Arabidopsis thaliana: one gene and its partner. The protein of the gene in region 1 purifies or fractionates together with the protein of each later gene. This does not show direct contact. Each region holds a gene or a part of one and is shown on either strand. Other genes may lie near its edges.

Region 1 (3,928 bases):
CTCCTTGGGCTTAGCAGGCTGTGGAGCTTTCTTAGTAGGAACTGGAGGGACAGCTTCGGTTTGTTTGGCATCACCCAACACCTTCTTGAATTCTGGCTGGTTAACCATTGTCCAGAAGTATCTCTCAACATGAGGGAATGCAGAGGTAAATTTCTTGGTCATCACGGTGGCAAATCCCAAGTTCAAGTTGCAGATTGTGACAATATCAGCAAGGGTGACAGAGTGTCCAACAAGGAAAGTGTTGGAGGCGAGATGTGTGTTCAGAGCCTCAAGTCCTCTCTTCAATGCAGAAATTGCCGCTTCCTCAGCCTTCATTCAGATAAAACCATTAAAAAGATTAGTCAAGCTTAGACTAGTCAAATACTAATCTTAGCGAGTAAGGAGTAGCATGATTTGTTAGTACAGAGAGTGCATGAGACAAGGCACAAAAAATGAGGGAAAGCTTACTGGGGCAGAGAAGGGAGCATAGCCCATTCTTGGAGCAAACCACTTCAACATGTTAGCATCAATCTCCAATGAGGAGAAATCGATCCATTGCTCAATGTGAGCCTGAAAAGTAAACACATGCACATAGACATGAATCAATGATAGTAAACAAGAGATAAACACAAAGGTACGATAATTTTAAAAGGAAAGGCCATTGGATAAACAGGAGCTTACGTATTCAATAAGGGAGGATCCATTCAAAGAGTTGTCACCATTCTTACGGCTCACTGAAGGGGGATAACAAAACAATCATCATATCCAATTAATACCAAGTTATAGATAGGTGCATCAAAGAGAAACAGAAGGAAATGAAGTTATACCATATCGGGCAATGGCATTGCTCTCAAATATGGGACCTTCAGGAGTCTCAAGCACAGGAACCTAGTGGGATCATAATCTTTTATTAGCTAGGAATTTACAGCAAACATCAATCAAAACTTCTCGAAAGAGATTCCATACCTTTCCAATAGGGTTCATCTTAAGGAACTCAGGTGACTTGTTAGTGACGCCCATCTGAAAGTCTGCGGACTCCTCGATCTTCACACCCGCATACTCTGCAGCAATAAGTGCCTTATTGGCACCTTTGTTTCCCTTGTATGTGTGCATGACCTGATAAATAGTATGATTTACACAAACTTCATCAATGAAACTCAACAGAAATTGCATAGTTATATTCATCCAAAGTAGTTTTTCAATGCAACACAAAATCCAGTTCTCAGATTAATAAACAATCGTCCAAGATACCTAAATCATTCTAAAATCAAACTATATTCCCAGATTTAAGATACATGAATCAAAATTCATAAACTATCATCAACAGATCAGTAAAACCAATCGTGACGGATCTGATGAAACGTGTAATGATCTCAGAAGTGAGTACTTACCAACGCCATTGCTCAAACGGAGAAGATATACGAACTCGGAGATTTTCTGAGTTCAGATCTAGTTACCAAAGAAAACACCAAGTAAAAATCAGTTAATCGTCGATGAAATTTTGAAACGAGAGAAGCGTATATGAAGAAGAAGTTGATAGATTGATTCTTACGAGAGACTTTCTGCAAAAACAATTCCGAGAGAGCAAAGCGAGAGAGAAGAAGATACAAAAGCGGCGGCGAGAAATAGTATTAGAGTGTGGAAATTAGGGCTGTGTGAAGTCGGTTTTGGAGAATATTCCTTTTTCGTTTGATTCGGTTTAGCTTTTGGTTTTGTCAAATTTGGTTTGCTTATTTTTAAGGTTTAAACGATTATAACTTTTGCATTTATGTATAACATAATAAAAATTAGCGTATTGTTTTACCCAAAGTAAAGTTGGAGTTTTGTTTTTGCATTTTTTGACAGATTTTGCTGACATTTCCCCATGGCCATTTTGATATGTAGTTTAGTTGGTTGTATCCATATCCTTGGTGTGCCAAACTCGCATGTTGTTGAAAAAGAAGAAAAAGAAACACTAGTTCATCGAAATTCGTAGAAGCAACCTCACAAAGTTACTTCTCTGATTCATGTCTCTATGTGGTTTCTTCCTCTCCAAGATATCCTAAACGACAACCAAAAACAAAGTTTTAGACCATACAAACTAAACTTTAAATCCGAAAATGATATATCCTTTTTAAAAATAAGTTGTGTTGTGCTTTTTAAATTCAAAAGGGTTATTAACTTATTATGCAAGATTGATCCATAGATGTAAACTAAAACGTTACCACGTACAATGCCAATTAATATAATTAGGTTTTTGATACACCAACTCCAAGTATGGGTTTGAATAAATACAAAATTGATGAATTTTGTAACCCTTCTTTCACTTTGTGAAAATGAAATAAAATCTTTTAATTAAGTAGCTTCCAAAACTATTAGAGGGCATTATTGGTAGGTCCACTAAACTATGTTATTGTTCGTATGTCATACATATATAGATGTTTTTTTATTGAGTTCGATTTCTTCTACGAAGTTTACAAAATTGGTTACCTTCCACAAGTCTTTGCGTATCATTTCTTCACAACTTACTCCTTTTGGTCAACAGTACCAACAACTTTAATTTCAAGCATCTTCCGCCTCTTCTTCTTCTGCACTGCGTTTACTTTGTGTGACCAAAAATCCAAACTAAAGATATGGAGGTTCCAATCTGGCAATGGTGTTTGATCGTCATAGTGATCATATTCTTGGCAATTGCTTCCCATTTTCTGGGAAGAATCTTGTGTAGCCCTCGAGAGAGAATCGCAGATAGTAAAGCCGAGAAAAAACATGGACCAGCCGAAGCAGACAAGACTGCGAAAGGTGGCTCCGACCAACTCGTGTGATGATCTCAAAGAGCATGCATATATCGTCAAGTTTGGTTTGTAATTTGTAAGTTCATTTTTTTTTTTACTATTATTGTAAAATAATACTAATTGTTCACATCCATATATACATATATGCGTAAATATATATATGTGTGTGATCAATTCCAATTTAAAAAAAAAGAAGCATTGGAGAGAACACTAGTAAGCTCTTAAATTTGTTTTCAATTAGTCATCAACTCATCATCAAGTCTAAGAAACCAAAATGTAATTCGGGTTTACAACATTGCATGGTTAGCTTCATATTATGGGAAATTAAACTTTGATAGTTAGACCAAAAAAAACAAAAAACGTTGATAGTGTTGACCTTGGTGATGGAAATCAAATGAAATCAACTTTTAACCGTGGGTTGGCTATGTGCATATCGGATTAGAACCGATAATTGAGCTGCTGTAGACTCGCTTTAGGTTTGGTTTAATGTCCATGTTATGTTAAAAGGCTGTTATAATTGTTGAAACAAAGTTTTACAACAACCAAATTAAAAAAAAAGTTGTTGTAACAAAGCATGCTATAAAAAGGTAGAGCAAGGATCCATCTTGTGTATGATATATATATACATTTTAACATATGTAATTTCGTGTGAGAAATTCAGTTACTGAGAAGATAGTGAATTGCAAGTATTACGTAACGTAGGGATCTCAATCAAGTCCCGAAATCGTAAAAGCCTCACGTCTTTTCTTCTTCCTATTTCTTGGATCCTCTGTTCTTGTTCTGTTTTTCTTTCTTTGGTGGTTCTTGAGAGATTGAGAGAGTGAGTGAGTGTGAGAAATATTAAGTCAGAAGGATAAAATTCGATTCAGCTCCGCATATTCGATTGACATAGTTTAATTAAAACAGTGGAAAGATTCATGCAGCTTATAAAAAAAAAAAAAAAAAACCAAGAAATACTTTGATATTAGGTGATCAACGAATAATCTGAATATTGCAGAAAATATGATGAATGTTATTTTTCTTGAGCTTGCAAGCAGAATTTGAATAACTTTTCTTCAATATTTAGGGTTTATATTCCACATAATTTGAAGGCTTTTGTAAAACCTAAAAACGTACTATTTACAATTTTAGATTTAGCTTCAAATATGTAATAGTAAATCTTAAGCATGTTGCTAAAA
Region 2 (3,928 bases), about 11 Mb from region 1:
CATTTGTCCTGATGTAGCACATGCAAGCTAATGCTATGCTATCGTTTTTTTTTTGTTGATCCAATATTCTACCTAAATCACAAATGATTGAAACAAAAAGTAATATGTTTTGGAACTCAAAGTTGATGTTACTGGCGAGCATACTTAGCGAACATGACACTTTTACAACTTTTAATATATTAGAATACGTGATACTTGTTAATGTCCCAATTGGATCATATGTGGACCGTCGTGGAGGATTTCTACACATGTACAAGATAGATATTTAGTGATCTTGGCATGGCGCACACAACGATTGTATGAGGTGAGACTAAGAGATTACAGTAGAATACTAGAGTTCGATTCGATCAATCTAATAATGTCGATTATATTTACCTTAAGAAAAATAAAAATCAGTCAGGATATTTGGAATGATCAGCCGATGAAGTTGATCACTCATCAAATTTTTAAAAAGGGCCAAAAGAATTCTCTATGTCTTTTGTGCTTCGATAAAATAACATGGATATAATTGTTTTAGGAAAGTTTACATTAAAAGTGTTATATAGACAGAAGTTTGAGGATATAATATAGTTCTGAAATTGAATTAAACCTGTATGTTCCGGAAAAAAAAAGTCTTCCTTTAAAATGATTATGAAAAGAAGCATTTGAACCAGAATGTTGGAACTCAATTGGAATCTGAAATCCTTTTTCTCAACAAGGAGGAATTTTAAAAGAAACCAAAGTACATCTTTGGCCAAACTATATCTTGTTACTTTTTTCCCCACAAAATTTATAGCTTTTTGTTTTTACAAAAAGAAGTGATAAGAATATAGAAAAGTTGAACAAATCTTTTTTACAACGACTAAAACATACATGCAACTTCTTAGACGTATCAGAATAGGTGTTAAGAAACTATATAAAAACATATGTATATCATAAGTGTATAGATTTTGTAAAGTGTTTTTTTTTCTTGGGTAAAGGTTTTGTAAATTTTAGTTTTTTTGTACGTGAATGTTATATTTATTTTATGTGATAAATAACTAATAATACTTTGAAAAAGATAACTAGTAAAATATATATTAAAGTGGTGTCTGTTTGTAAACATGAAAACTTGGTATGTATACTAGATTTTCTTGGCGTTATGCATGTGAGATCCAACAAATGGTCTCAACTCCATCTTTAGAAAATAGTAAGAACTTGATATTGCGATTTTTTTTTTTTTTTTGAATAAAATTTAAAATTTATTCGAGAAAACATGTTTACATCGGATGCATCGTTTGTGCCTATAAACTTTTAGATACAAGAATCAATAGAATATGTAGAGAACTTTATTATCTTGAACCGAACCAACAAGACATGCAGCCATTGTAGCGATATTGCGATTTTGCTTGGGTAGCTTGCCATTTTTGGTGATAATATAACTAATATCCACATATTAGATAGTTTCTTATACATTAAACAAATTGGGTGACCTATCATTTTCAAAATGAATTCAATTTATTATTTTGTTAGTAAATGACAATTTAAAAGAGAAAAACTGAAAAAAGTGACAACTAATCAGAGAGGAAAATTGATGAATTTTGTAAGATACATACACATCTAATCTTTCCATAAATCATTCTAAACTACCTTATTAATAATTCTATAGATTTTTTCTTGTTACCACTTTTTTTAACAGTTTTGATTTCTGAGTACAATGCTAATTTATTCCTAACTGACACTCTGGAAATTTGGGTCCATATACACTTCTCATGGTTCACTTAAACATGACTATCTTTCATTCATAGACAGAAGAATTATGAATTGTTTTCTTGATGCTCTATCGTGTAGATCTTAACCGGTTTATTGATTTTTTTTTGTAAAGCCCACCAAGATAAAAGAGAAGGCCTAACTGAGGAGATAATTGGGCCACATATAGGCCCACTAAAGAAAAACCTAGAAGCTTAAATAAGTACCTATGAGAACTCTGCGCCATCCTCTTCTGCCTCCTCCTTCACTCTTCATCTTCAAAGACTGCGCCTTTTAGCTCAGGTTTGTTCTTCGATTTCTCCCGTAAGATCTTTTGTTCTTACGCCTCCTATTAGGTTTGTTTCGATCTCAAAGTAGCCATGGTCATAATAGTATTTGATTGGAAATTCGAAGTTTGAGTATTTTGATCCCCATGATTAGGAACTCTTAAGTGATGTCTTAGTGAATCAATTTTCGATGTTGTTCTTTGCTTCTAATTGTGATCTGTCTTTTAGCAAAATAAAGTTTCGTTTTTGCTGAATCGTTGGGGTTTTAGTAGTTGATCTGATCTTGTCTGCTTTTTATATCAGTGAAAAAGGTTCGAGCTTCGGAAACTATGGCAGCATTCCCTAACCTTAACTCTGATGCTGGATTGAAGAAGCTCGACGAGCATCTTCTCACTCGCAGTTACATTACTGGGTAAGTTTCAATTTCTTAAATTTGTCTTTTTTTTCAAGTGTTGTCTCAATTAAGTTGTTAACATCTCTAATAGATTAGATCCTTAATCTCTACCTTTTTGAACAAAAAGAGTAATAATTAGTTTCCTTTGTGTATGCTTATAGATACCAGGCTTCAAAGGATGATATCACCGTCTTTGCAGCTCTTGCAAAGCCCCCAACTTCACAGTATGTGAACGCTTCTCGTTGGTACAATCACATTGATGCCCTCTTGAGGATCTCGTAAGCTTGATTACCTTCTATTGTTTTCCATTTACTAATGGATTAAAGTTTTTAGCTGTCTGGAATCTGGATTAATCTAATATTGTTTCGTTATAATCATGTTTCTATATACAGTGGTGTCTCTGCTGAAGGAAGCGGTGTCATTGTTGAGGGATCAGCTCCTATCACTGAGGAGGCTGTTGCTACTCCCCCTGCAGCTGATTCTAAGGTATGCTTGATCGTCTCTATGTTTTCTCATAATGTTTTTGTAAAGTTGTGCATTGGGGAGATTTCATATGAATGTGTGTGTTTTGTAGGATGCTGCGGCTGATGAAGAAGATGATGATGATGTTGACCTTTTCGGAGAGGAGACCGAAGAGGAAAAGAAAGCTGCTGAAGAGAGAGCAGCTTCTGTCAAGGCATCTACAAAGAAGAAGGAATGTAAGTTTGGGTTTTGTTCTACCCTTGTAATTTATATGAATGATATGAAGATGTCTTGGATTTCTCATTGTTTTTATTATTCTTCATTAGCTGGAAAGTCCTCAGTTTTGATTGATATCAAACCGTGGGATGATGAGACTGACATGAAGAAGCTTGAGGAAGCTGTGAAGTCCATTCAGATGGAAGGTTTGTTTTGGGGAGCATCAAAGCTTGTCCCAGTTGGTTATGGTATCAAGAAGTTGCAGATTTTGTGCACCATTGTTGACGACCTTGTCTCTATTGACACCATGATCGAAGAGCAACTCACTGTTGAACCGATCAATGAATATGTCCAGAGCTGTGACATTGTTGCCTTCAACAAGATATGTAAGTTTCATGAACCTATTCGTAATTCTTTTTAAGCTGTGATCTTTTGTTAGATAATGTGGTGTGTAACTGTCTATGTTGGATTGAATCATAATGCAGGAGGATGGAGAAAGCTTCAAGGAATGTCTGTGTTCATGTGGTCTGGTTCTTCTTCTTCTTCTATATTCAGTTTCCCAAGTTTTTGTAGACTGTTGTTTTGACTCTGTTATGGCCTGCCATCTCTGATCCATTTTGATATTTAATGAAAAGTGACAATTCAGTATTACGTTTTCTTTGTGTATGACCCATTCTCTGCTTCTTCCTTCCCCTCTGTTCATCGCTTGTATCTCTAGATATGTGTTTCTTAGTGAATCCTTAGCAATTTTCCCTTGTAGCTCTGCCGAATAAAGTTCAGGTTTTGAGCTAAAACTAGTAAACTAGCAAGTGAGGACTGATAAGGGTTTGTGATTTAGAGCAACTCAAGCTGATAAAATTTA

Evidence for each region.
Region 2: the proteins of AT1G57720 (region 1) and eEF-1Bb1 fractionate together in Arabidopsis thaliana (co-fractionation; one large-scale study listed by BioGRID). This does not show direct contact.

What each region holds. Positions count from the first base shown.
Region 1 is NC_003070.9:21,375,324-21,379,251, reverse strand, and holds the start of AT1G57720 (Translation elongation factor EF1B, gamma chain), read right to left. Parts: upstream 1,933-3,928; 5' UTR 1,532-1,932; intron 1,518-1,531; exon of another isoform or gene 1,429-1,517; 5' UTR 1,380-1,428; coding exon 1,371-1,379; intron 1,096-1,370; coding exon 946-1,095; intron 868-945; coding exon 807-867; intron 714-806; coding exon 661-713; intron 550-660; coding exon 448-549; intron 310-447; coding exon 1-309. UniProt on the Arabidopsis thaliana protein: Probably plays a role in anchoring the complex to other cellular components.
Region 2 is NC_003070.9:10,636,963-10,640,890, forward strand, and holds eEF-1Bb1 (translation elongation factor EF1B/ribosomal protein S6 family protein), read left to right. Parts: upstream 1-1,951; 5' UTR 1,952-2,010; intron 2,011-2,297; 5' UTR 2,298-2,323; coding exon 2,324-2,406; intron 2,407-2,549; coding exon 2,550-2,666; intron 2,667-2,780; coding exon 2,781-2,874; intron 2,875-2,962; coding exon 2,963-3,086; intron 3,087-3,176; coding exon 3,177-3,456; intron 3,457-3,551; coding exon of another isoform or gene 3,552-3,553; exon of another isoform or gene 3,554-3,554; coding exon 3,555-3,639; 3' UTR 3,640-3,820; downstream 3,821-3,928. UniProt on the Arabidopsis thaliana protein: EF-1-beta and EF-1-delta stimulate the exchange of GDP bound to EF-1-alpha to GTP.